Linked DNA regions of Alligator mississippiensis. The protein of the gene in region 2 purifies or fractionates together with the protein of the main gene of each other region. This does not show direct contact. Links are inferred from orthologs where the notes say so. Each region holds a gene or a part of one and is shown on either strand. Other genes may lie near its edges.

What was found.
Region 1: the proteins of WWP1 (region 2) and SMAD7 purify together in Homo sapiens (affinity purification with western blotting; 3 studies listed by BioGRID, with this or other methods). This does not show direct contact. The link is inferred for Alligator mississippiensis from reciprocal best matches to the Homo sapiens genes WWP1 and SMAD7.
Region 3: the proteins of WWP1 (region 2) and PTPN21 purify together in Homo sapiens (affinity purification with mass spectrometry; 3 studies listed by BioGRID). This does not show direct contact. The link is inferred for Alligator mississippiensis from reciprocal best matches to the Homo sapiens genes WWP1 and PTPN21.

Annotation. Positions count from the first base shown.
Region 1 is NC_081826.1:289,548,565-289,556,583, reverse strand, and holds the start of SMAD7 (mothers against decapentaplegic homolog 7), read right to left. Parts: upstream 5,410-8,019; 5' UTR 5,179-5,409; coding exon 4,692-5,178; intron 3,421-4,691; coding exon 3,367-3,420; intron 1-3,366. UniProt on the Homo sapiens protein: Antagonist of signaling by TGF-beta (transforming growth factor) type 1 receptor superfamily members; has been shown to inhibit TGF-beta (Transforming growth factor) and activin signaling by associating with their receptors thus preventing SMAD2 access.
Region 2 is NC_081826.1:49,483,445-49,491,463, forward strand, and holds the start of WWP1 (NEDD4-like E3 ubiquitin-protein ligase WWP1), read right to left. Parts: upstream 5,347-8,019; 5' UTR 5,183-5,346; intron 4,723-5,182; exon of another isoform or gene 4,626-4,722; 5' UTR 4,603-4,625; coding exon 4,420-4,602; intron 4,417-4,419; exon of another isoform or gene 4,398-4,416; intron 3,834-4,397; exon of another isoform or gene 614-3,833; intron 1-613. UniProt on the Homo sapiens protein: E3 ubiquitin-protein ligase which accepts ubiquitin from an E2 ubiquitin-conjugating enzyme in the form of a thioester and then directly transfers the ubiquitin to targeted substrates.
Region 3 is NC_081825.1:271,808,261-271,816,279, forward strand, and holds the start of PTPN21 (tyrosine-protein phosphatase non-receptor type 21), read right to left. Parts: upstream 4,326-8,019; 5' UTR 3,896-4,325; intron 3,267-3,895; 5' UTR 3,178-3,266; intron 1,238-3,177; 5' UTR 201-1,237; intron 1-200. Other genes in the region: ZC3H14 (zinc finger CCCH domain-containing protein 14), read left to right, coding at 4,474-4,509, 4,652-4,694.

The DNA.
Region 1 (8,019 bases), about 240 Mb from region 2:
GTAGCTGCTGCCAGAGACCAACAGATTAGAGCGGCTGCTGACTGCCAGCACTTCAGTGTGGGCACCTTTCTGCCAGGGTGATGTCCCTTAGCCTTTCTCCAGCCAAGGAGTGCCCTCAAGGCAGTAGGGCTAGGGTTTTGAAGAGCCCTATACTTGCCTTACTCTGGAGGTTGCAACACTGTGGTATTTTATAGGAGCTTCCCCATGAGTCACCCCACCACACTGCCACCAGGCCCTCCAGTTGAATGCAATTTATGGTCATACCCAGGACAGAAAGATGGACTTACTAGTTAAACGGCCCCTCTACTTCTGACTTCATTGTACTGACCCCCACCCACCCCAGACTCTCTGTGAAGGTTCATATCCACACAGAGGTGGGGTCATATTATATCAAGAGCACAATTCCCTTGGAGTCCGCATCTGCAGCCCTTCCAGAGGTGATGACTATCACTGAAGTTAATGGGAACAATAAGAGCTGCAGGTTCACGCTCTTGAATAAGGATGGTACAGCCCTTTGCTCTAGGAGCATTTACAAAAGCTGTAAGGTCACCGCAAAATATACTTCAGTTATGTCCGAATTTTTGGGAGTCTACTTACTCTCAGCTTTGCCAATGATTTGTTGCGTGTCCCTGTCCAAGGAAACTTTGCTAAATCTCACTTCACCCATCCTGAAAGCTGCTGTAACTACATTTATTTATTGGCTTTCGTTCCCATTTATAAAGACTGTGGGCTTCATCCTTCAAGCCTTGCTCAAGCAACATTCCCACGTACTCCAACTGGAGTTCTTCATTAGAAGCTCTTGCATGACTTAACCTTAAAGGCTGATATATTCCTGTTAATAATAGCACTGCATTTCATGTCAACATCCTGTGTCAAGCTTCCTAGTAGAGACACTAGCCTCTGTAGATAAAAATGCTGAACTGACCAAGCGGTTTTCATCATCATAGTAGAAAGGCTCCTCACACACTCAGCCTGCTGGGTCCTCTGCCACAATCTCTTCGCAAAGATGTGCAACAAAAGCAAGCGGAAGAACAGCAAGGACAGGACTGTGTTTAAAATCTGCCCAATTTGAACCCCCTTCCATTGAAAGCTAATATTTTTTCATCTAAGTAGCCTCTAACCAAATAATGGTTGACATAATGCTTTGAAACCTAGAAAAACGTGAGAAAGCATGCTCCCAGCCTGGTTCTGTCTGCAGCAAGGGATAGCAACGCTATCTACACACAGCGCTCCATATGTGTGTGCTCTTGCTCTCCACAATAGCCTCGATTAAAGAGGAGACCAAAAATAAAACCTGCCAGAGGTTGTGAAACCACCTGCAATGACAAACTTACAGATGTCTTTTGTCCCTGTCGCTGCCCCATGCACTTCCCTATTCTGAATCCAACTGCCAAATGGATTAAAAAAAAAGCACAAAAAAAACCTTTTTTGGTGAGTAACCAGTTGTTTTTGTGTTTCCGATTGGCAGCATTAATCACTTCCTATTGGCCGATATGAAGAACTTTTCCTTTCGAAATAGCACATTCATTTCTGCGGCTTTTCTGTTTACACACATTTTGCTACCTTATGTCAACACTTGCTAATGAATAAATATATCACTCCACTAACTGAAAATGAGGTCCTGGCAAAGGCAGATTGGATGTTTAAACCCTGCTAATAGATTTATCCTAACATCTTTACAGGAAGCTCAAGGCAATCATTAACTCTTCTTTCCTACAGTTTTATGTTAGCAGCTCTCCTCCTCAACTGTCCACAGATCAGTTTGTGTCTTCCCCCAGGGTCATTATTCGGTTAAAAAAAAGGCCTAAGCCTTTGAACGTCCTAAGGAAGCATCAGTCTCTTGATTGTTACAGACTTTGTCTCAGTGATAACGTTCTTCCTCTAACAATAAAATTCTGTCCTACTCAGTCCACGCTCGACTATATTAAGAAACAGTTCCTTAATCAGAACAGCTAGTAAATGCAAGTAACACTTGTTAGGGATGTAAAGCACAACACTGATATCTCCTCATTAAATAATGAACTTTTATCTAGTGTTTTTTTTTAAAGACTAAGGCAAAATATTACATGCAACCCATTCATTAGTTGAACAGCTGTGCCTGTTTCCCCATGGCACAGAGAAACCTGTGTGTTATAAGAGCTTACAATGGGGAAAGAAATGGACCTTGTCATAAGATCCAGTCCTGGAAGTTCCTAAGAACTTAATTTAATCAGAGTTAGTTTTCTAGAGCAAACTTTTTTTGTTTTTAAGAACTGACCGAGGGCAACTGTGAAGTGAAAAGACAAACTTCATCCCCTGGGGGCTGAGAACTGCTTGGGCTCTAGCAGGCAGCCAGTCCCAAGCAACCAAACAGCAACAATTTTAGAAAAACAGACCTGAACTGGGTCTTTAGAAAGAAATCTATTTTTGACTCTCCTTCATAGCAGGCTGCCTTGCGTGACTTTAAGACGCTATCACAAAGACAATCGTGCTACAATCAATACTTTGGGTCCATTAATCTTCAGAGAGATATGAAGCGTCTCGGTGGAGTCCTGCCCTTCCCTGACTTCATCCACATTTCCGATTTCCACTAAACCTCTCTCTCCTTCCACAATGCCAGTCCTATTTATCTAACACAGGGTGAGCCTGCCTGCCAACCAGAAGTTTATGCAGACAACCGCAACAGAGCTTGGTGCCAGCCTCAAATGGGCTTCTGCCCTGGCAGTCTGCCATTCAATTACAAGCAACAGGCATGCAGAGCTGTGTTAAAAAACTTTTGATATTCCCTTCCATTTATAAAAAAAAAATAAAAATCTCATAATGCTGAATTCCAGAGGATTTCAAACATCAAGAAGATCTGCACAAACCACATGTGTCAAAACTGCTCTGTGCCCTTACTCATGAGAAATTAAAAATTTCCTACACTCCTCTGCTACAACCTCTACTAATATTAAATGCATCATCACTGGGAACAGGGTTGAGAACAAGCCTTGCATTTTTTCCCTGTGCCACATAACATTATCAGCTACACTGGGAAGACTGCCTGAGAAGGTGTTCACTAGGCAAAGTGGGCAAATTGACATTACTTTCTCTTCAGATCCATCCCAAAATGTTCCAAGTCCCTTGTTGGGAAAAGCCAGCAGTTGCAATCACCATCCCTACCAGATCCCCTGCTAAATCTGACAGCCGCAGGAGGTTTTTTCAGAGTCAAAACATGTATTTCTTCTTATGGGGCAGGGGGGTTAAAAAGCACAGAACACCCCAGAGAAATGGTCAAAAAGTGAAATGCATCAGACGTGTAACAAAGGCAAGAAACATTTCCCCGGAGAAAGAGTTGTTTTCCCTTTTTATCTGAAGACAGTAGCCTCTGTTTAAAGGTCTACTTACCAGTTGGTTTGAGAAAATCCATTGGATATCTGGAGTAGGGCGGAGGGGGAGACTCTGGAATTAGAAAAGTACAGAGAAAATAAAGGCAGAGCCATGAGAAAAAAAAGATAGGAACTTATGATAACAGTGGCATTCTTTTAGCAAAACTGTTTGTCTTAGCTCTGGGGGTTGGAGGCAGGGCAGCTAAGCGGCGATTGCCTTGATATTTAGCTGTCAGATAAACAAAAGGGGCCGCCTGGCGCCAGTCTCCCTGCTATCTGCTACTCTGGCTGTCTGATCAGGGCCTCCTTGGCTCAGCTAAAACACTCCAGCTCTGGAAATCACCAACTGATCCCGACTGCCAGATAATCCTTGCTAGCTGCATACACATTTAACATTTCACAGAAAAGGGAAAAAAAAAAAAAAAAAAAAGAAAGGCTGGGGGGAAGAGGGGGGGAAGTGGAAGGAGGAAAATAATAATCAAGGGCTGCCCTTCAGCAATTCCCCACTAGTCAGAAGGGGCCGATTTCTGTGCTACAGCAGCTAAGCAAAGTTTGCAAGTAATTGCCATGTTTTCCGAAGGAGGAGGGGAGAGGCGGAGGCCGGCCGGGTCGGGCCGGGGGCGCCACGCCGCCCGGAACAGCACCACCACGAGCACTGCCGGGGGAGCCCTGCCTTCATGCCACTGGCCAGGCAAATGCACCGACACTTTTTTTGCTGGGGCTTATTTGGAGACACAAAGCTGTGCCTGGAGGAGGCGGCAGCATGGCTGCAGCTCTCAAACGTTTTCTTGCTGGCGGGGGCTGGGACCCACTGGCCCCCAGCGCCTGCACATCCCAGCCCGGCTGGGCATGTCTGTATGCACGGAGGAGCAAGGGGGCCTGTCCCCCGGTGCTTAGGCGGGCTGCTCTGCCGCTCAGGCCAGGCCGGGCCAAGCCCCCAAGTTCAAGTCTCCCGAATCCTTCCCCTCCCGCAGCCCCGGGGCGGGCACCATCCTGCTCTGCCCGCTCAGCGCCGCTACCAAACCCCCAGGCTCAGCACCTCTTTCCACCCCCAAATTTTCCGCACATGCAACCACGCACCCCCCAGCCCTGCCACCCCCATGCACACTCACAAGTGTCCAACCAGTCCATATGGACCGTGTGTGTGTGTGTGCAGTCCATAGACACGTGTGTGTAGTCTAGACCACATGCGTGTGCAGCCCATATAGGACATGTGTACAGCCTGTGTGTGTAGTCCATAGACCACACACGTGTGTGCATGCAATCCATACAAACCACATGTGTGTGCGTGCGCGTACGTGTGTCTCGTGTGCGCGCACACGCGTGTCCCCCCCTTGTCCGTACCTAGTTCGCAGAGCCTGCTAAGGTGATGGGGATTGCAGCAGACCAGCTCTGGATGAGTTTTTCCATAAGATTCACAGCAACATAACCTCTTGACTTCCGAGCAATGCCTGAGATCGGGCCACCTGAATATTTTACATAGCAGCAAAGGGAGGGAGTACCAATGCTGACCCAGTCTGGAGTCCACCTTGCCGGGCAGCAGGAGGCAGGAGGTCCGGGTGCCCCCTCGGGACTCCACGGCTTGCAAAAGCCCCTCCAGCTGTTTCTCCTTCAGCCTCTTGAGCACGGCGTGGGTCAGCGCCTTCAGCTCCGCCTCGGAGCCCAGCGCCGCCTTGCCGAGCTTGCCCGCCTTGCCCATGCAGCAGCCCCGGCCGCCGCCGGCCCCATGCGCCCGGCTGTCCGCGGCGGCGTCGCCCGCCTCGTCCTCCCCGCCGGGAGCGCGGCTCCTCCAGAGTCGCCGGACGAGCACCGAGCGTTTGGTCCTGAACATGCGGGACGAGGAGCGGGGTGCCCGGCTACAAAACGAGCATGTCGTCCGCAAGTCATGAAGGATCCGGGCTCCGCGTCCAGGCAGCGAGCGCCGGCAGCCCGCGAGCCCCAGCGCGGTGCCACATGCGCCAGTCTCGCTCGGCGGCGCGGCGCGGTGCGGCGCTAGCCGGCGGGACGGGGCGCGGGGCTCCCGCGGGGCTCCGCGCCCGGCATCGAGCCGCGCCCGCCCGCCGACACCGGCCCCCGATCAAATCAGCAGCCGCCCCCCAAAACACGCAGCGCCCCCGCCGCCCCCCGAGCAGAGCAGATCTTCCTCGCAGAAAACAAGACGAAGGGAAAAAAAATGAAAAACAGAAAAAGGAAACTCGCGGTATCCTCCGGAGTCAAACATCCACCGATTCCAGCCCAGGGGAAGTTTTGGGGGGCAGGGAGAAAGGAAAGCTGTACAACGTGGGGGGTGAGGGGGGGGGTTGCTTGTTTCAAGCTCAGTTCAAGTCATCATCAAAATCTGAAATGTGTCAAAAAGGTACAAAATCATCACACACGCCCCCCCCAAAAAAATCAATCACATCCGAGGGTGAGATCCCCCTCGTCTCGTGGCCGCGCCGGCAGCGGGAGCCGCGCGGGCAGTTTTATTTCCAGTCGACTTGTCCCCAAACTCCTCCCGCCGCGCCCGGGCGGGGACGGGGACGGGGACGGGGTCGGGGCGCGGAGGAGGCGGCGGCTGCTGCGAGGTGCCCGGGAGGATCCTCTCGCTACCGACGGTCCCCAGCCCCGAGGGCTCGGCTCCGGCTCCGGCTCCGGCTCAGCCCTGCGCGCTGCCTGCGGCTGCCTCCTCCCCGCATCGGCTCCCGATACGCAGGGAAGAGGCGGGGGGGAAGGAGCAGCTCCTCCGGCTCGGCTCGGCTCGGCTCGGCTTTCCTTCCTGGCTTCTCCCTCTCTCTCCCCTCCGCTGCCTCCTTGCTTCCCGGGGAGCAGAGCCTGTCCCCCGCCAGCAACAGCTCAGCTCGGCTCGGCTCGGCTCGGCTCAGCTCCCCGTGCCCATGCCCCGGTGCCCAGCGGCCGCCCCGCCGCTCCTCCGTGCAGCCGCCGCCGCCGCCTCCCCCGGCTTCGCCTCGGCGCTCTCAGTGCGCAGTGGCGCTGCCCAGCCCCGGCCCCAATCACGTGGGCGTCTAGACACCCTGTCGCTTTAAAAAAAAAAAAAAAAAAAAGTGATTGTGTTGCGCAAACAAGAGATCGGGTTGCTAAAATCTATTTTTTTTTTATTCCTGAAGTCGAGAGAGAGAGAGAGGGAGAGAGAGAGGAGCAGGGCAGGGATCCGAGCGAGCAGGCTCTTCCCCCAGCCCCGCAGAAGAAAGGGAGGCGACATGGTGCAGCCGGGTCGCCCCGAGGCAAAGCTGAGCCCCGGGGAGGGAGCACGAGAGCTCCGCAGTGGGGCTTGGCGGAGCCCACGGGCGAGCTGGGCTGCAGGGGGGTGCTGCACCCAGGGCAGGTGGGGGCCAGGAAACGCCCTGAAGTGGGAGCCCCAGAGCTTGCAGGCTCCTGGCTCGCCTGGGTCCTTCCTCCGAGCCTGGAGGAGCAGCCAGGCCTAGGAGTGTTAAGAAATAAGATTTGCCTTAGTAGATTGCAAATATAGACATGTGCACGCATGCATGCACACACACACACATCTATATACAAGCATGCACACGCATACATACATACACACATACAAAATATGCATACACACATACAAAATATGCATACATATGCATGTATATGTGTGTATATATGCATATACATGTGTGTATATATAGACGTGTGCATATATATATATAGATGTGTGTGTATATAATTGTGTGTATATGTATACATATATGTGAATATATACATATGTGTGTATGTGTATATATGTGTGTGTGTGTACATATATGCATGTGTGATGTATATCTCTCAGAAGGACAGGCTGGTTTGTACATTCGAAGAGATTATGAAATGCAATAAATAATAATCATACCTTATGCTTATCCTGCATTGTAAAGTATTTTGCAATCGTGGATACTGTCCCCTTTTTTTTTTTTTACAGATAAGGACAATGATGCACTGGTATTAATAGAGCACTGTAATCCTTTTATTGGCACTCTGTAGCATTCACTGTCAAAGCGTCTCGGGTGTTAATTATTTAAGCCTGTCACCACTCCTGTCAGGTCCTCTTGTGCCCATTTTGAAGAAGGGTAAATCAAGTCAGGTCAGGGAAATTGTATATAGTGGTGTCTCAACCTGTAAAAGAGCTGGGAAGCCAGCGCTGAGCTCCTAGCACTGTGTTTTCAGCCCAAGGGTCCCAATCTTGCCGACATTAACACAGGTGACTAGTCCCCTAGAATGAATGGTCTAGTCCTATAAATAAGTATTGTCAGGGTCAGAGCCAAGAGCAACTATTAAATTGCCTAAGGTCACACAGTAGGTCAGTGGCAGAGTTGGAAATAGAACCCAAGACTCCTAAATCATATGTTCTAAAATCTGGCTGCAATAAACACATCTAATTCCAAAATAATTGCTATGAAATAAACAGGACAACACCCAGCAAACACAGACAGCACAAAAGTTATTTTTCTATAAAGTTCCAGACGGTGCATACTGGAAATGCTTTATGCTCCTTGGACTGACTTCCCCAGATGCTTTGCATGCAGAAAGGACTGTAGGATCAAATGTGGACCCCCAATCCTGTAAAGACACACAGGTGCAAAGAGACTACTCACAAGCATCTAGTCCTCTGTGGGCGCATCTACACGTGCACTTTAATGCGCAGTAGACTATTTTACTGTGCATTAAAGCATCACATGAAAAAATGACACTACACTAA
Region 2 (8,019 bases):
TAGCGCTTACCCCACCCTCACCAGCTCCTCGTCTCCCTGCCTCTGCTGTGCTGCTCTAGGTAGCAGGCAGCATGTGGAAGCAGCAGTGACCATGAGGACATGGGCCAGGCACCACACACAGAGCCAGATGGCCTCTGCCCCACTATGTGAGGCTCCAGTTTCCAGCCACATTCCACCCACTAGGGCACTTGGCTCAATGAGAATCCACCTGTGGTCAGCCAAATGGGTGGATGGTGGCCAGGAGCTGGAGCCCTGTAAGCTGGGGCAGAAGTAGGCAGGAGTGTGATGTGGGCTGCCTCAGACAGGAGTAGCAGGCAGCTCCCACCCCCACATGCCCCCTAGACACACAATAGACAAGAGTAAGACTTTATTTTGAGCTAGTATGCAATCACCTCTAGATACACTACTCAAAAACATACAAATCAGGACAAAAATTATTTTCTGAAATAAAATTAAAATACATTGTAACAGAAGTTTGATTTTTAGTATATAGATAAAAAAAACCCAACAAATTGTAATTTGTTAAAATGATATCTTCTTAAAGGTTTTCCATGTGCTACCTTTGACAGCTCACCAAAACTTAAGTAGCCTGCCAGCTGAAATAATCACTCACCCTGGCTTAGAGAGAAAGATCTCTCGCTCAGGCTGTTCAAGCTTGCTGGAAATGTCTAGGAGAGTAGCCTCCTCTTCCCCCAAGCAATTTCATAAAGGGACTTCCTTCTCCAGCTTCCCTGTTTTTGTCTTTTCCTTGAGATTTTTGCTGCAAATAATTACTTTTACACCTCCATAACAATTTGAAAAAAATATTTTAAAAAACCATACATACAAGCACATGTACACACAGACACACACAGAGTAAAAAGTTTCTTTAAAATATAACAGCAATCTGTACATTTAAGACAAATCACTATTTTGGGGGGTTTTATTTTAGTTTTGGTTTGGTTTCAAGAGAGGAGGGGTAAAAACAGGGATAATAAAGAAGCTAGTTTAAGAACTAAAATTATCCCATTTTCTATCTGGGCATACTGAAGCAATAGTTCTTGACTGAAGTAGTATGAGCCAGGGAGAGGGCCTAGTTTTAAATGGTACCAGCTGATATGAGCAGTAAATGGCCATCAGCATGATCACATTGATTGCATCAAATTTAACATTTCTTGCAAATGAAGAGGTATGAAGGATGGCTCAGAAAGAATGCATCATAGTACACCGCCTCTGTTGCCAGAAGTAGAACACAAAAAAAGATGAGATGAGAAAGACTGGATTTAACACTTCAATGTAAGGAAAAAGTGTCAACAACAACAAAATTCAGAAGTGAAAAAAGTAGATACACTGTTTAGAAAGCATGCGTTTACCTTTTTGATTAAAGATTCTTCAATCAAATTTCAAATCATTACTACCTTAATATTATAAAATTTGAAGAATAAGTTCTGTAAAGTATATTTCATAAAGCATATAAGTTCATAACCTCTGCCAACATGATTTTAATGGTGCTTTTACAATATCATGATTTCTTTAGGACTTGCATAAGATGATGGCTTTTAAATGAAAGCAAGATGGAATAAAAAAATTAAAATAAAAAAAAAATAAAAAACTGTTTCTTACACAATTCTGGTTGCAGAAGCACCTTTGCACACATGGTTACCTATGCCAATAATCACTAACAGTAAGGGTCGTGTTACCCTTACTTTCCAGCTGCAAAGATTGTTTATCCATAGATATATGAGATTGAAGATTTGCCCTAGAATATATATGTAATACTAATGTTTCTCCTTTTCACTTTAACTGAAGCATTTCTGCAGTGCTGATCTTTGAATAAATTATGATGAAACAGAGGTAAACTGAAATCTGGTTCTGGTTAAGTGAGGTCCTAAGCAAAGCAAAAATTTGTTCTAAAATAACGAATGTGCAAGTTTTAGGAAGGTTATTTTAAAAAGAAACTCTAATGATGTAATACCTTAAAAGAGGTCTCTGGAAATGTATCAGAACCTCTGAAATGAGAAGATAAGGCACTCCACTTAACAAGTCCAATAGCAAAGTCCTGGTAGAAAGCCCAAATTTTCACCTACTGGGAAAGAGGAAGGTACTGCTGTCTCCAGATGACATGCGTTTTTCTTTCCTATGGGTCTCTGTTTGGGAAGGAAAGCCTCTCCCTTGATAAAAAGAAAGAAGCTTTTTTCCTACTTTTTTCGGGCAATTTGACAATCTCTTCTAGTTTTAGAGGGTCTTCCTTTTGAATATCACTTTGCTTTATAATAAGATTTCAAAAACAGAACATGACAAATCTAACCTGTCATCTTCTAGCCCTCCCAGTGGAATGCTTCCTCTTCTACTCTTGCTCCCACATACACACCATCAACCCGTACATAACTGATACAGTATTATCCAAGTCTGAACATAGTCTGAAATAAGGGCTAAGAGGTATGAACTATCCTGATGCCCATTACATGGGGGTGTGAACAACACAGTGAAACTATAGCAGCCTTTTATAAGTCAACATGAATTATTGCAATATTTAACAGGAAAGCATATAGGATGAGAAATGTGGTGGGATTCAGAAAGAAGTAGAGAGAAAAAGGAGAGGGGAGGAAAAAAGAAAGAAAAAGTATGGAGGAAGAAAGAAAGCAAAAATGTGGGAGATTCAAAAAAAGAGGGGGGCACACAAAATTTTCCTTCTTCCTAAATTACAGCAAAATATATAATATCTAGTTTAGTTAATACACCAGGCCATATTTTATCCTCTTTGTCTCAATGACATCTACATGTGCTTTGCTCTCTGCTAAGATTGGTATCTGATCCTTTACAAAATCAATTTGGTAAAAGTCAGTTCATAGTTTTCAGCAAATGCAAAACAGGGAAACTGACAGGATTCTTAGTAAGTTCATAGCTGCTATTCAGAATCTTATAATGAGTAATGAAACTAGGGAAACAGACCACAACTCATTTACCTTCCCACTACTCAAGCCACTTTATACAAACTCAGGAAGATTGCACCAATTGCAGGTGCAACTTGAAGCAGACCTAAAAACAATCTAGTATTTCTTAAATGAAATTTGCATTAGTTGAAAAGCCAATAGGTTAGAACCCCACTTAGTTTGGAAAGCTTTTTTTGAATGTGGGAAATTATTATTTTTTTTTTTTTTATGCCTTAACCCCTTAAAATCCCTATGTGTGCCTTCAGCTTTAATGAGGGATGTGCTTCTTACCAAGTTGGTCAACCAAAAGTTTTCTAAGTGTTCAGAATTGCATTTTTAAGGCAACACCCAACAGCTAGTTCCTGCCCTTAATTTATAACTGATATCCTTTTTTATTTAGTAGTTGCAGTTTAATTTGTCAATCCATAGTTACTAAAACTTTTTTCATTTCAGGCCATTAGCTACTATAGAGTTTGAGAGAGAGAAGGGAAGTGACAGGATGTACTGCCCATTCCCACCTCAAATCTGGGCTGTGGGCAGTAAAAGTAACACAGGAAGGGCTTGGAGAACACATCTTGTCCTTTCCTGCAAAGTAAAGAGTAAAGATGGAGAAGAAAAGTGACGTGGCGAGTATTCCCAGGTGGCAGCCCCATGACACAATGAAAGATGGGAAGGAACAGACGGGTACTCCTTCCTCTTCTTTTATTTTGTCCCAAAAAAGAACTCCATGGTTCTTTTTAAGATCTGGGGATCATTGACAACAAAAAGCATAGTTTAAGTTTTCATTTTGTGAACATTCCTTGAATCTCATTTAATCACAGAAACACTAAATTAACAGAGTTTATGTCTAGCTGACTTCACATTAGCTGGCTTCATCAGCAGTCCCTCAATACAAGGATAACAGTCTTCCAGTTGGTTTCTCTAATCAAAAAAAAGTCACAGAATTACCATTTATACATTTCCAAAAGGTTCTAACAAATTACCACTAGTCAATGTGTTCATTCACTTACAAAAGTTCATGTCATAAACAAAGTATAAGCCTTTATACTATAAAGGGTCACTGGCATCCATTTTTATTTCACACATACAAATCATCACAGATCTTACTAGCTAGCCCACTTTCAACATAAGGTAACACAACCTAGTAAACTAGTGGTTCTCAACCTTCTTAGACTCAAGACACTGCTCAAAAAATACCAACTTAGTTTTTCCTTTTTTTTTTTTTTTAAAACTTAAAAAAATAATAAAGTAATTCTTCTGTTGCAAAAAACTTGATCGTAACAAGTCAGAATGTATTTAATACTATGGATTCCTATTTGAAATCTCTGGGTTTATCTTGTGAATCATGTTCACATGCCTAATAGTCCTAACATTACAAGGCATCCTTGAAAGGATCTCAAGGCACCTGGGGGTGTCACGGCACCTGGCTGAGAACTGCTGTAGTAAAATAGGCATTAGCACACTGTGTCTAACCTACATTCATACCCAAGTAAGCCCTTCTGGTCACCTCTATCCAAGCAGTAACCCACACGGGAAAGAGGAACACAACTTCTGGGACTGTCTGCAGAACTTTGTCCGAAGGCTGAAGGACTCTCATGCATCCATATGATCTTTTTCTTATCCGCATGGGCCGGCCGTCGAAGCTCGTGGAGCACGCGATTAGGAGCGCAGCGCAATTAGTTGATGGCATACAGTGGGAGGCGCATCTTGTTTCTGTGGTGAATGAAGTTACAGCCCCGCACACGCTGGGGGAACCCACGCCAGGCTCCTTTTACAATAAAAGCAACGACCTGGGGCCTGTTCTAGCAATCTGTGGGTATTTTATCATTTAAAAGCCTGACTACTGGAGCTATCATCAGATCTCCCACTTGAGCAGGGGCAGGAGCACCCCCCCACTGCGAGACTGCGGGAGAGCCTGGTGCCTCCAGGGGCCGTGATGACAGGCTGCAGGGGACATCCCCGCAGAGCGGACTCCCCGCTCCCCAGTTAAGGGGAGCAAAACAGCGATGTCACCACATTGCCACCTCCTGTCCCCCCAGGTAAGGGCCCAGGGCCCCACCGCGGCGGCGGGCGCGGCCGGGGCTCCCCTCCCCCGCCCGAGCACACAAGGTTATTCGCTGACACGGCGACCCCGAGCCCAGCCCGGCACCGCCCCAGCGCTGGGCCCGGCCCGGGCAGCGGCTGCCCCGCTCCCCCCAGCGGAGGAAGCCGCTGTCACCCCCGTGACAGGCCGGGCATGGGGTCCCGCCCCGTCCTGTTTATGTCCCTACCGTGGCTCGCAGCTCGACAGCCGCCGCCGCGTCCCCTCAGCCGTGCGCGCCGCGCTGCCGCTGGCCCGCCGCCTCGCTGGGCGCTGCCATCTCACCGCGGCGGCATCGGCGGCCCGCGCGCAGCCACCGCCACAGCCACGGCCGCCCCTGCGCCAGGGCCGCCCCGCGCCGCCCTCCCCCCAACGGCCGAGCCCCGAGCGCGCACGCGCCGGCCTCCCTGCGTCAGCGCCTGCGTGCGCGCGCGCGGACAGGTCGGGCCCGACCACAACCGCCCTGGCTAAGCGCCCGGCCGCAACCAACTTCCTCGAAGCTGTGGGGGGGAAGGGTTGAACCAAGGGAAAAGAGTGCGGTAACCGCCTGCCCCGGACTGAACCAACTTCCATATCGGGGGGCGGGCTGGGACGAGCAGGGTCAGTCCCGCTCAAGCTGCAGGTCCTGGTTTGAGGCCGCCCTGCGCGAGGACGGGGCGGTACGAGCAGCGGGTCCCGGGGCGGGGTGCTGAGCTATCCCCGCCTCGCAGGGAGACCTCAGTGAGCGGAGACTCAGCCCCTAAGGGAGCCGGGGTAGGGGGCTCGCGCAGTGGGCCCTGGTGGGGGTCCTTGCAGGCCCCCGGGGTCTGAGGGGCGGGGTCACACATCTGCTGCAAACAATGCCCAGAAAAAGATCACTCACCTGAAAATCCTAATAAACTGACTGCAGAGCCGGAAGGCAAAAGCAGTGTCCCAGGCAGGACATCTCTCCCCCTGTGCTGGGATCCTACAGAAGTAGGAGCCCCTGGGCCCACCTGAAGGCCCGGCACAGGAAGGGAGAGAAAGGCACTCAGGGTGTTTCAGTCCAGCTTGTTGCTGGCACAACCGAAGGGCCAGCTGCTCTTGTGTCACAGGTTTGGGCTCGGGTCAGTCACAGCCACCTCAAACCCAAGGCCTGTTTTTAACCCAAAGCCTTCGCTTCATAGATCACAGCCCTACCTTAAGGGAAACAGCAAACTGACTTAAGGGGTTGAGGAAAACCAAATTCTGTCCTGAGCTGTTGCACTGTGAGCAGCAGCCGGTCTCATGGGGCCCAGCCGTGAGCCCCAGCCAGGGTGCCTCCCACCAGGACTCCAGCAGATAAGTGCAGGCACAGGCAGGGCAGGGCAGGGCTGCTCTCACTGCCCAGCCCAGTCCAGCCCTCTGTGCAAGGAGTTGAGCGCTGAAGTTAGTTTTTTAAATGTAGTGCCCCTCAATTCACAAGCGTGGAGGGTGCCTCATGTTGAAAAAGGTTGAGAGCAGTGAGGTGTGGGATGGGAGCCCTGCAGAGCCTCCAGGATGGTCTCCAATGGGATCTATCTGAATTTGTGTCTGTTCTTTTGAAAAAGTGCTTATCCACAAGAAAAAAATTTCCTTTAAGGTACCTAACACTATGTATTCATCCTTTTACTTGTTCTAAAATCTGTACCCTATAATTGAGTTCCCTGTTTTCTGACTCTGCTCTTGGGGTCTGCATCTGTAATTTGTGTTAATAAGCATTTTTAGCTCTACTTCATGACTTTGCAGTGGCTTGCTTGTTGCAGATGTGGTTAATGTTTTCATTTATGTCCAAAAATAAGATGCCATTCCTGTCCCAAGGAGTTTGCAATTAGTGTGAATAGACCAAACTGTTCAGACTAATTAATACATGGAAATGCTGTTCTGGATGGGGTGTCCCCTTATAGCCTTTAATTAAAGTATATTTTTACAAAAAATACTTTAACATACAGTACTTGATACCTCTTGCTTGCTTGCCTCTTCCCTACGTCCACCTCTTCATATTATGCACTAAATTGTCTTATAACTGCCTTAATTGGATGGATAGCTTCATGCAAAGGGTACCCATAATGTGTTCTGAAAGTAATAGTCAGCTGGCTTCTAAAAAATAGGCTTGTGGTGATGTTTTGTTTTCACGTGAAGCATAAAACACCTGAAGGATTTTTTTTGTTTTGACTTGCTTTGAGGACTGTGCTAGCAAGTATAATAAAGTATGTGTATAAATGTTTGCCATTTAGGAGCCTTAATTTTTTAAAACAAGCTGCAAAATTTCAAGTCTATGTCATCCTGCATGAACTTGAAAAAGCAAAGAGAAAATTGTGGGTTCCGGTTTTCCCCCTTTTGTAGATCACATGTAACCTTTATAATGTGCTTTGGCCTGCAAAAACTAAAAGTCCCAGTATGCAGTGATTCAGGATGGTGACATTAAGATGAAATATGGTATGCTTGGACCTTCAGTATTAGTTGCCTGCATCACTTCATTGGGTGCAAACAGCTAGAATTTGCTTCCTGTAACTTAACTGGATGTAAATCTCAAACTTGCTGCTGGGGGAAAATCTAGTTTTTATATGCATGTTTATTTTTATTTGTGTATTTTTTGCCAAACTCTCTTTGAGTTTTGTTTTTGGACAAATAAAAAATCTAATGCTAATCTCAGATAAGTTTCACATGCTTTAGATGTGAAACCATAAATCAGCCTGAAGCTTTTAGCATCTTAAAGCTTGAAAACACTACAAACGTAACAAATATAATTGGCTAGGAAAGTAAATCCTAGAGAAGTGGTATATTACTGTTGGAGTTGGCCTCCACGAGCTTAATTAATATTAGATTCTTATATAGCATTCACTCACTAGGCTTCACAGATTCTAAATCTGGGAAATTCAAGGTCAAATAAAGAACCTACAAGCTAAGTGCTTAGTATGTTGCTGTTATAGATTCACCCTTCTGCTTGTCTGGTTGTTGAACAAACATATTATTGACCACCTTTCTATTTCCTTCCTAGTTTCATCCAGAGCACAGAGAAAAGCAGCACAGTCTCATACAATAGGCCTA
Region 3 (8,019 bases), on a different chromosome or scaffold from region 2:
GCACTTTCTTCCCCGTCTCAGGCCACCCCAGCACAGCTCTGCAAAGCGCACCAGCAAACTATCACAAACTTCCTCTGGCACCTCCGTCCCCCAGGCTGCTTCTAGTCACCTCACCAGCCGGGGGAGGAAGAAACAAAGCAGGGAGGAAGAGCTCCGCTGTCCCCCGCGGCGCCTGCCCTGCCCTGCCCCTGCCCCGTTACCTGCCGCCGCGATCCGGTGACACGCAGGCGCCTTCCCCAATCCGGGTCGCACGGCCCGACTGCGCCGGGACAGCCGCTGCCCGCCCGCCCCTACTGAAAACAGCCCCGCCGCGGGTCACGGCGCTGCGCGGGGAGTCGGCACCGGCCCGGCCAAGTAACCCTGGCGCAGGCTGGCGGGGGCCGGAGGCGCTGTGCGCGGGGCCGGGCGGGGAGTGTCGTGGCCTGGAGGCGTTTCCCGGCCGTGCGGAAGGATACGCGGAGCCGCCAAGTGCTCGCCCGCAGCCCGTGACCTCAGGGAGCAGGAATGCGCGGGGCGGGGGCGGGGACGGGGCAGCGCCGCTGCTTCTCCTGCCACCCTGCGCCCACCCCCGGGACAGCGCTAGTGGCAGCCGTGGGAGCGGCCGGGCCGGGCCGCCCCGCCCTCGCCTCAGGCGGGTGCACAACGCGGGTCCTGCCCGGGGCTGACCCGTGCCCGTGCAGCACCCCCTTCCTCCCCTCCGGGATGTGCCGGGAACAAGGAGCCTTTACTCGGTGCCTCGGTCACAGGCACCAAGCGGACGCCTGAGTCTGAGCCGCGGCTCACTGACGGGAGACGCCACTGCCGTGTGACAAGGGCGCGGGCGCGGGGGATGCGGCAGTGCCGGCCGGTGCTCGGGGTCCCCGCGCCAGCTCCGGCCAGCGGCGCACGCGCACTAGGGCGCAAGGCTGGGCCCGGAGCCGGGGCGCCGCGTGCTCTTGTGTCCGGGCCGCCCGGCTGGCGGCAGCCGCACCCCGGGCGCTGCCCAGCCTTGCCGGGGTACGACAGCCATGGTGTCTGTAAGATCCTTCCAGCCCTCGTACAACGCAGGGTCAATAATAGTAAAAGTGTTTAAAACGTATGATGACTTTTGAGGCAGGTCATTGATGCAGCGAATGCAAAACTCAAGTCACGGAGAATCTTAATCCGGTTTTGGGCTGGCTGTCAGCACCTCCTAACACTGCGCCTCTTGAAATAAAGAAATGCTTCCACTTCCACGTTCTTGCTCGCAGACTGAGGACTTACAGTGATCAACATAAAGTACAGAAGAAAACTTATTTGCATGCGTTTTCAGTGTATGATAGTTTTTTTTTTTCCAGCAAATACGGTAATTTTGAGTTCCAATACAATAATTTCATATTTAAGACCTGCCAATGCTGGCACCACCTCTCCAGGGCCCCAAAGATCATAAGTACGGGGCATTTCTAATCCAGCAGGGTCTCCTCCCGTGCATAGGTGGGGAGGCACATGCCCCCAAGATTGGCTGACATGGCAGCTGGCTTCTGCATTGCTGATTACTGCTCACTGCCGCCAACTTCTGCTGGTGGTCTCCACTTGACACTGCTGGCTTCTGTGGGCATTCGCCAATTGCCACTCATAACCCCTCTCTCCCAGCTGGCTTCTGCGGGTGGCCACTGCTCACCACTGTGCCGCCAACACTGCCACCCACAAATTGTGCCCTCCCTCCCCCCCCCAGTCTCAGGAGGTACCAGTCATTTATGCTGCAGTGTGTGGCACATGGGTGGGGGGGGGGGGGCGCACGGCAGGGATTCTGCAGAAAAAACCTAACTGGGGTCAAGGTGTGCACATGGATCCCCAACAGCAGTGGCAGCCGGAAGGGCTGCTGAGAAAAGCACAAGGTGGGTTGGGCTCCGGGCTGTTGCGGGGGGGGGGGGGGGGTTCTCTTATGGGGGCGCTTAGCCCCCCCAAGCTCTCCCATAATTCAAACCCTGGCAGTGTGGCCCTTTACACTGAGCTGGCCCTGTGGAAGAGGCTGGGTGTGGTGTGAGGAAAGAGACCAGACCTGAGGCTGATTGTTCCTCCTGAAGGAAACAGGTTCCATCAGGCTATGCCTTACGGCAGGGATTTTCAACCTTTTTTAATAAGTGTACCCCTGGCGGCCTCCTTTTTAATATGTGTACCCCGGGGGGGGAGAGGGGTGGCAAGCGCAGGGCAGCCGCAGCAGCCGCTGCTCCTGGCACCGCTACCCGGGAGGAATGAGCTAGCGGAGCTCGTGGAACAAGGGGCTGGGCCCCTCCCTGCACCTCCCCACTCTCCCCTCCCCTCCCTTCCCTTTCCACCTCAAACAGCTAGCACTCACGGCCCCCAGCTGTCTGTGCACAGCGCAGCGCGCACCTGCCGCCTGCCCAGACACGCAGAGCACATACAGCCCAAGAGGGGGCCACCCAGCCCCAGCACACATGGGGCAATGCTGGACGTGGAGTGGGGCAGGAGGTAGTGCATGGCCAAATGCAGAGCTGCTGCGGCCACCCCGTGCAAGCTTTCCCTGCCCTCGGTGTTCAGCTGGGTAGGTGGAGCCTGTGTGGCAGCATGAGGTGGTGGGTGGCAGCGCTCCATCCCCACTTGCCTGCATGTACCCCCTAGGGACTTCTCAATTACTCCCAGGGGTACATGTACCCCCAGCTGACAACCCTGCGTTAGGGACAGGCTGCATGCAGCTGTCTCCGGTCAGCATTCATGAAGTGAGCTTCAGCTCGGGAAAACGTGTGCACACGGTATTGGGGGCAAATCTACCCTGCCTTCTAGACTTGAGACTGTGTCTTTCTCCTTCCTTTTCCTAACTGTATGTTGGCTGCGCCTGAGAATTTCTCTCAGACCCTCCACTAGGCAGTGCATAACTTGCTGTGCCCGGCTTCCTAGATTCAGAAAACTGAGGAAGAATGTCTTACATGGGGAAGCTTGTCTAACTTTATCCCAACTACACAGCTGGTCCAAGAAAAGATATCGCTCTAAGAAAACTTTGCCTCTCGCATCTGGACCATCATGGCTACAACATCACTTACGCTACCTTTCTCCATCCTGGCAGTGCTGGTCAGTACAGCCAGGATATGCTGGTTTGTACAGGTGGTTAAATCCACCTTGCCCACACCCCACGTTTTGATAATCCCAGGGCTGGCATGGGACCAGACTCTAATGAAAGGAACATGGTTGGAACTGTACCTACGATGGATGGGATGGCATCCAGTGATCTTCACATCCAGAGACATTTGCACACAGTTCTCATCAGATCAGTGAGAAAATCCTGATTCCTGAAAGAAGAAGAGTAGAAAAATAGAGATGTCTGGCGATTATTGCAGGGGGGAGGGTGTTAAAACCATATCTCCTTTTTACAAATCCATTTTCTTCCCCACTTTCCTTTTGCTCTTTTTTCACAGCATCTCTGAGACCTTGTGGACATTGAGGAGGAATGCCACCATCTAATTTATTCATCGGCAGCGAAAAGAAAAAGGTACCCTGTGAAGTGTCAGACATACCCAGCCCTTGGCAGGTTACAACAAATCCACATCCTTTCTATGCAGATTAAAAGTCCATCCCTGTTTACTTGTCCGCAATCCCTCCATTTAGGACAGTCTCTACTCCAGCTCATTGACAGGTCTCGACAGTGGCAACGCCTGGCCCGCCCCCCTGACCAGCCCTGCTTGCCCTTCACGCAACAGGCGGGGGGCAGGCGGGAGCACGGGTCTTCCCCCTGCGAGCGCTGGCCGGGGAGTGGGGGTGCCGTCGGTGAGATTGGCCACGGGGGGACCCCTGCCTGGTCAGCGAGAGTGGCCGCTGACTGGTCACTGGGGGGGGCATGTGCCCCCACCCCCGACTTAGGTGGCACTAGATGCCCAGGGGTCTTGAGGTGACTTCAGAGCCCAGTCCTTGAGCCACAGACCTGTCTGCAGAAGTTGCAGGTCTTTCCGCAGGGGAGAACAGGCCGTAGGCCAAGACGTCTCTCTTTTTCCTTCCTCTGTTCTCTCCTGTGCTTCAAGGGCGAGCGGCTTCGCCTCAAAATGGGCAGCTGCCTGCTTAAGGCTGCCGCGCCACTGGACTCAACGGGCAGCTAGCTCCTCCTGGCTCTTGGTGTGGGCCCCCTGTCCCCTGCAAACAGACCTCTCCCTGCGCTGTAATACCTTATTGGGGGGCGGGGGCTTTTGATGAGGGCTGAGTGCGGTGCTTGAAGCCGGACTTTCCCAGCCCCTGGGGCAACAGCCGGCCATGCCCGAAGCCCCAGCCATGAGTACTTCAAGCGAATTTTAAAACGTGGCCGCTCGCTGCCCGGGCGCGGCGAGGCCTGGCAGGCGGCGCAGGCCGAGGCCCAGGGCCGTGCTGGGGGCGGGGGCGGGGCGGAGCGGAGCGCAGGCCCGGGCTCTCCCGGGCGCCGGCAGGGGGCGCTGCGGGCGGCGGCCGCGCTCTCCCCGGCGCGGCCCCCCGGCTCCGGCGCGGCCCGCGGCTGAGGGAGCCATCGCGGCCATGGAGATCGGCACCGAGATCAGCCGCAAGATCCGGGTGAGGCGGCGGCGGCGCCCCCAGCCCAGCCCCGCCGCGGGGTCGGGCCCCGGGAGCAGGGCCTGTGCGGCCGGGGCCGGGGGCCGGGGCCGGGGAAGGCCCCCTTCCCGCTCCTGCCTAACGCGAGTGTGTCTCTCCCCAGGGCGCCATCAAGGGGAAGCTGCAGGAGCTGGGCGCCTACGTGGGTGAGTGTCCGGCCGGGGCTGGGGCTGGGGCCGGACTCGGCCTGGCCGCCCGCGTGCTCCTCGCTGGGCCCGCGGGCGAGGCTAGGCGCCTCCCGTCCCGCAGCGCAGACTCGTGGGGCGGGAAGGGGCCTCCAGAGGCCGGTAGTGCGGCCAGCACCAGCCCTGTCCAAGTCGTCCCTGCAGCTGATCGTCTGCCCACGACATGAGACTAACGTCAGCCCCACGAGTCAAGCAGGTCCTGCTCCTGTAACGTCTAGTTAACATGCACGCAAGAGGTCGCAGTCGGAGGGCCCCCGCTACCGTCCCTACCAGTCTGACCGTGGGGTAAAATTCCTTGCTGACCCCTAGTACGCCGGTCGGTCTGACCCTGAGCAGATAGTCCCTGCCCTTAAGACTGGTCGAAAACAAAAACACACTTTACGTGAAGAAGCAGTGTTTGGTTCAACCCCACTTCACAGTGTCTGTATAGATCGGGCGCTTTGGTGGGTGCACTTTTATTTACAGCTGATTCAACCAGCTATTAGATAACAGTGCCAAAACAGTGCACATGCACTGGGCTCAACGCAGGGGCACACAGAGTTTAAAGTAAAGCACTGATTTTGTGGGGGAATTACTTCTATAAGCAGCTTAAGTGCATATACTCAAGAGGAGGCAGTAGGTGTGGTGCTGACCAGTGTGGGAGACAAGGATATAACAGGCTAAGCTTTGTCAAGGTTTTTGTAAGTCCTGAGGAAAGGAGTCTTTTAACAGTGAGAACAATGAAGTGGCTTTGCAGGTGCTTACGGGCAACTCTTCCCAGGTGTAAGGGACAGCCAAAAGGAACAAAGGTGTGTGTCTAATGCAGCCTGAAGTCATGTGCTAGGTGGAGCCTGGAGTCGACCTCAGCATTGCATGAGAGCACGGGAAGGATGAGGATCAGTTGGAGGGCTTTGAAAATGCTGGCAAGCAGTGTACGTTGGATGTGACAGAGAAGGGGGAAACCAGAGAGAGAGACTAAGATTTTTAGTATAGATAAGAAAGCAGTCCTGTAGTAATAGGTGGAGTTGTGAATTGTCTGTGTAGAGACAGTAGTTGCATTTGTGTTTGTGGATGACCTTTACCCAAAGATAAGTGAGCGAGGGAGAAAAATGAGCCCCAAAGAAAGAGCACTATGAAATGTAATTTCTCCCATGACTGCAAATTCAGCAGTCTGCATTTTTTGTTTTAAAGCAGCCAAAGTGGGTAATAATAAGACAGTTGTGAGAAGAGATTCAATCCTCAAACTGGGTACGTGCTTGTAGTTCAGGGGTGGGCAAAATGCGGCCCTAGGGACTAGATGCGGACCGCCAGGCCATTCTGTCTGGCCCGCAGGGCCCCTAAAAAATTTAGAAAATTAATATTTATATGCCCCTGGCTGCCTATCATGCAGCCCTCGATGGCTTGCCAAAACTCAGTAAGCGGCCCTCCGCCCCTGCTATAGTTGCCCACCCCGTTATAGTTCCTCTTATGGTACCATACAGAATTCAGGTGAAGTAGTCCATAGGAGGTTGGCTACATGGGTTCAGGAATCATCTTGCACTTGTGGGATCAAGCCCAAACCTCCTAACTGGATCCTATATTATCCCATTAGAGATGGCAAATGGATAGCTGCATTTACAAACCAATACAAAATGATGTTGAAAGGATGTCCATCCCATCCTCTTTTCAAACTCAGCATGTTCTGAGGAAGAGAGCTCATCATTTTTACCTTGCAAGTTTTCTTCCCAATTTTTTCTGTCAATAGCCCTTTTTTTAGTTTCTGTTATCCAAGCTTACAACCTACACATGCTTAGTTATTGTTCCCCCTTCCTCTTTCACTAGGCTTTCAGTCCTTCTACCTCTTTTGTCATCACCACTATCTATTCTTTCCCATTTCTAGTGCCAAGATATTATTAGTAATCTCTGATTTCAGCTGCTTCTACCGTCTCCTAATTTTTCTTTCCCCACTAACTCAGTCCATTCACAGGGCTACTACAAAGGTCATCTTTGCAATGGCTTTAACTCTTTTCTGTTAACTTTGACTTTTTAAAATTAAATTAAAGTTTTCCTTATTCAGTTCTAACACACTGCCCCCATTGTATCCTTTCCCCTTTCTGACTACCTTCACTACACCCAAGTTTCTGTGATCGTTTTTTTTATTCCTTTCTCACTCCTGACCTATTAGTGCTTGGATCAGCATTCCAGTTAATGTTTACCAAGTGTCCCCTACTTCTCTTCAGGAAATTGATCAATTATTCTCTAACTACCCTAGACATAGACTGTTTTCTGTGTGTGTGCTTTTATCCTGTCTTGTGACAGGTGGTACTATTTATTCCTTTGTAAGATTGCTTAAGACAAAGACTTTTAACAAGTTATTTATCATGTAGATAGAATTGTTGAAGGAAAGTTTCACTCCGTAGGAAATTAAATAATGGAGAAAAACATAAATATTAATCCATAATTTATCAAAATTATTAAAAATTGAACATACTCTTCTGTTTACCAGTGTGGCAGTAACTACTGCATGTGGTAGTAAGATAACTGCATGTTTGGAAACAGTAATAATGTGTCACAAACTAGCAGTATAGGGCAAAACATAATCTTAAGAATTTTTGGTTTGGTATATGAATGTAACTGCTATAGCCACACATTCAAAAAAGGAAATAGACTGGTAGATCGAATTGCAGCAGTTATAATAGTATTGCACTCCTGTCCATAGCTGAGAAAAGCCTGGCTGCATTCTCCTTAACAGACTCGCTTTCCTGGCTGAGGAGATTCTACCTGAGTATCAGCGCGGTTTCAGACTGCTCAGGGATACAATAGATGTGATCTTTTTTGCTAGACAGCTGCGGGAAAAGTGCCATGAGCAACACCAAGATCTTACGTGGCCTTTGTTGGTTGAATTAAAGGCCTTAGTCAGGTCAACAGAGAAGCTGCCAAAATTTGTTACCATTATCAGATTTCTTCATGATGACATGACAACAGCCATCTTAAGCAGTGGCTTGGAAATGGACTCCTTCACTATTAGAACTGGACTCAAGCAAGGATGTGAGGTTGCACTAATGTTCTTTTTTCCATCTGTATCGCAGCTGTGGTGCATCACATTGCTGATAGACTTCTATCTGGACTCAACATCCAATATTGCATGTACTGTTAACATCAAACAGTTACAGTCCAAATTCAAGATAACCCAATGTCTCCATTACTGATCTTGAATGTGCTGATGATTGTGTCATATATGCTCAGTCAATCGAAGAGCTCCAGGTCACTCTTGATTGCTTCTGTGAAATGTGTGAAATACTTGGGCTCATGCTCACAAAACTCAAGA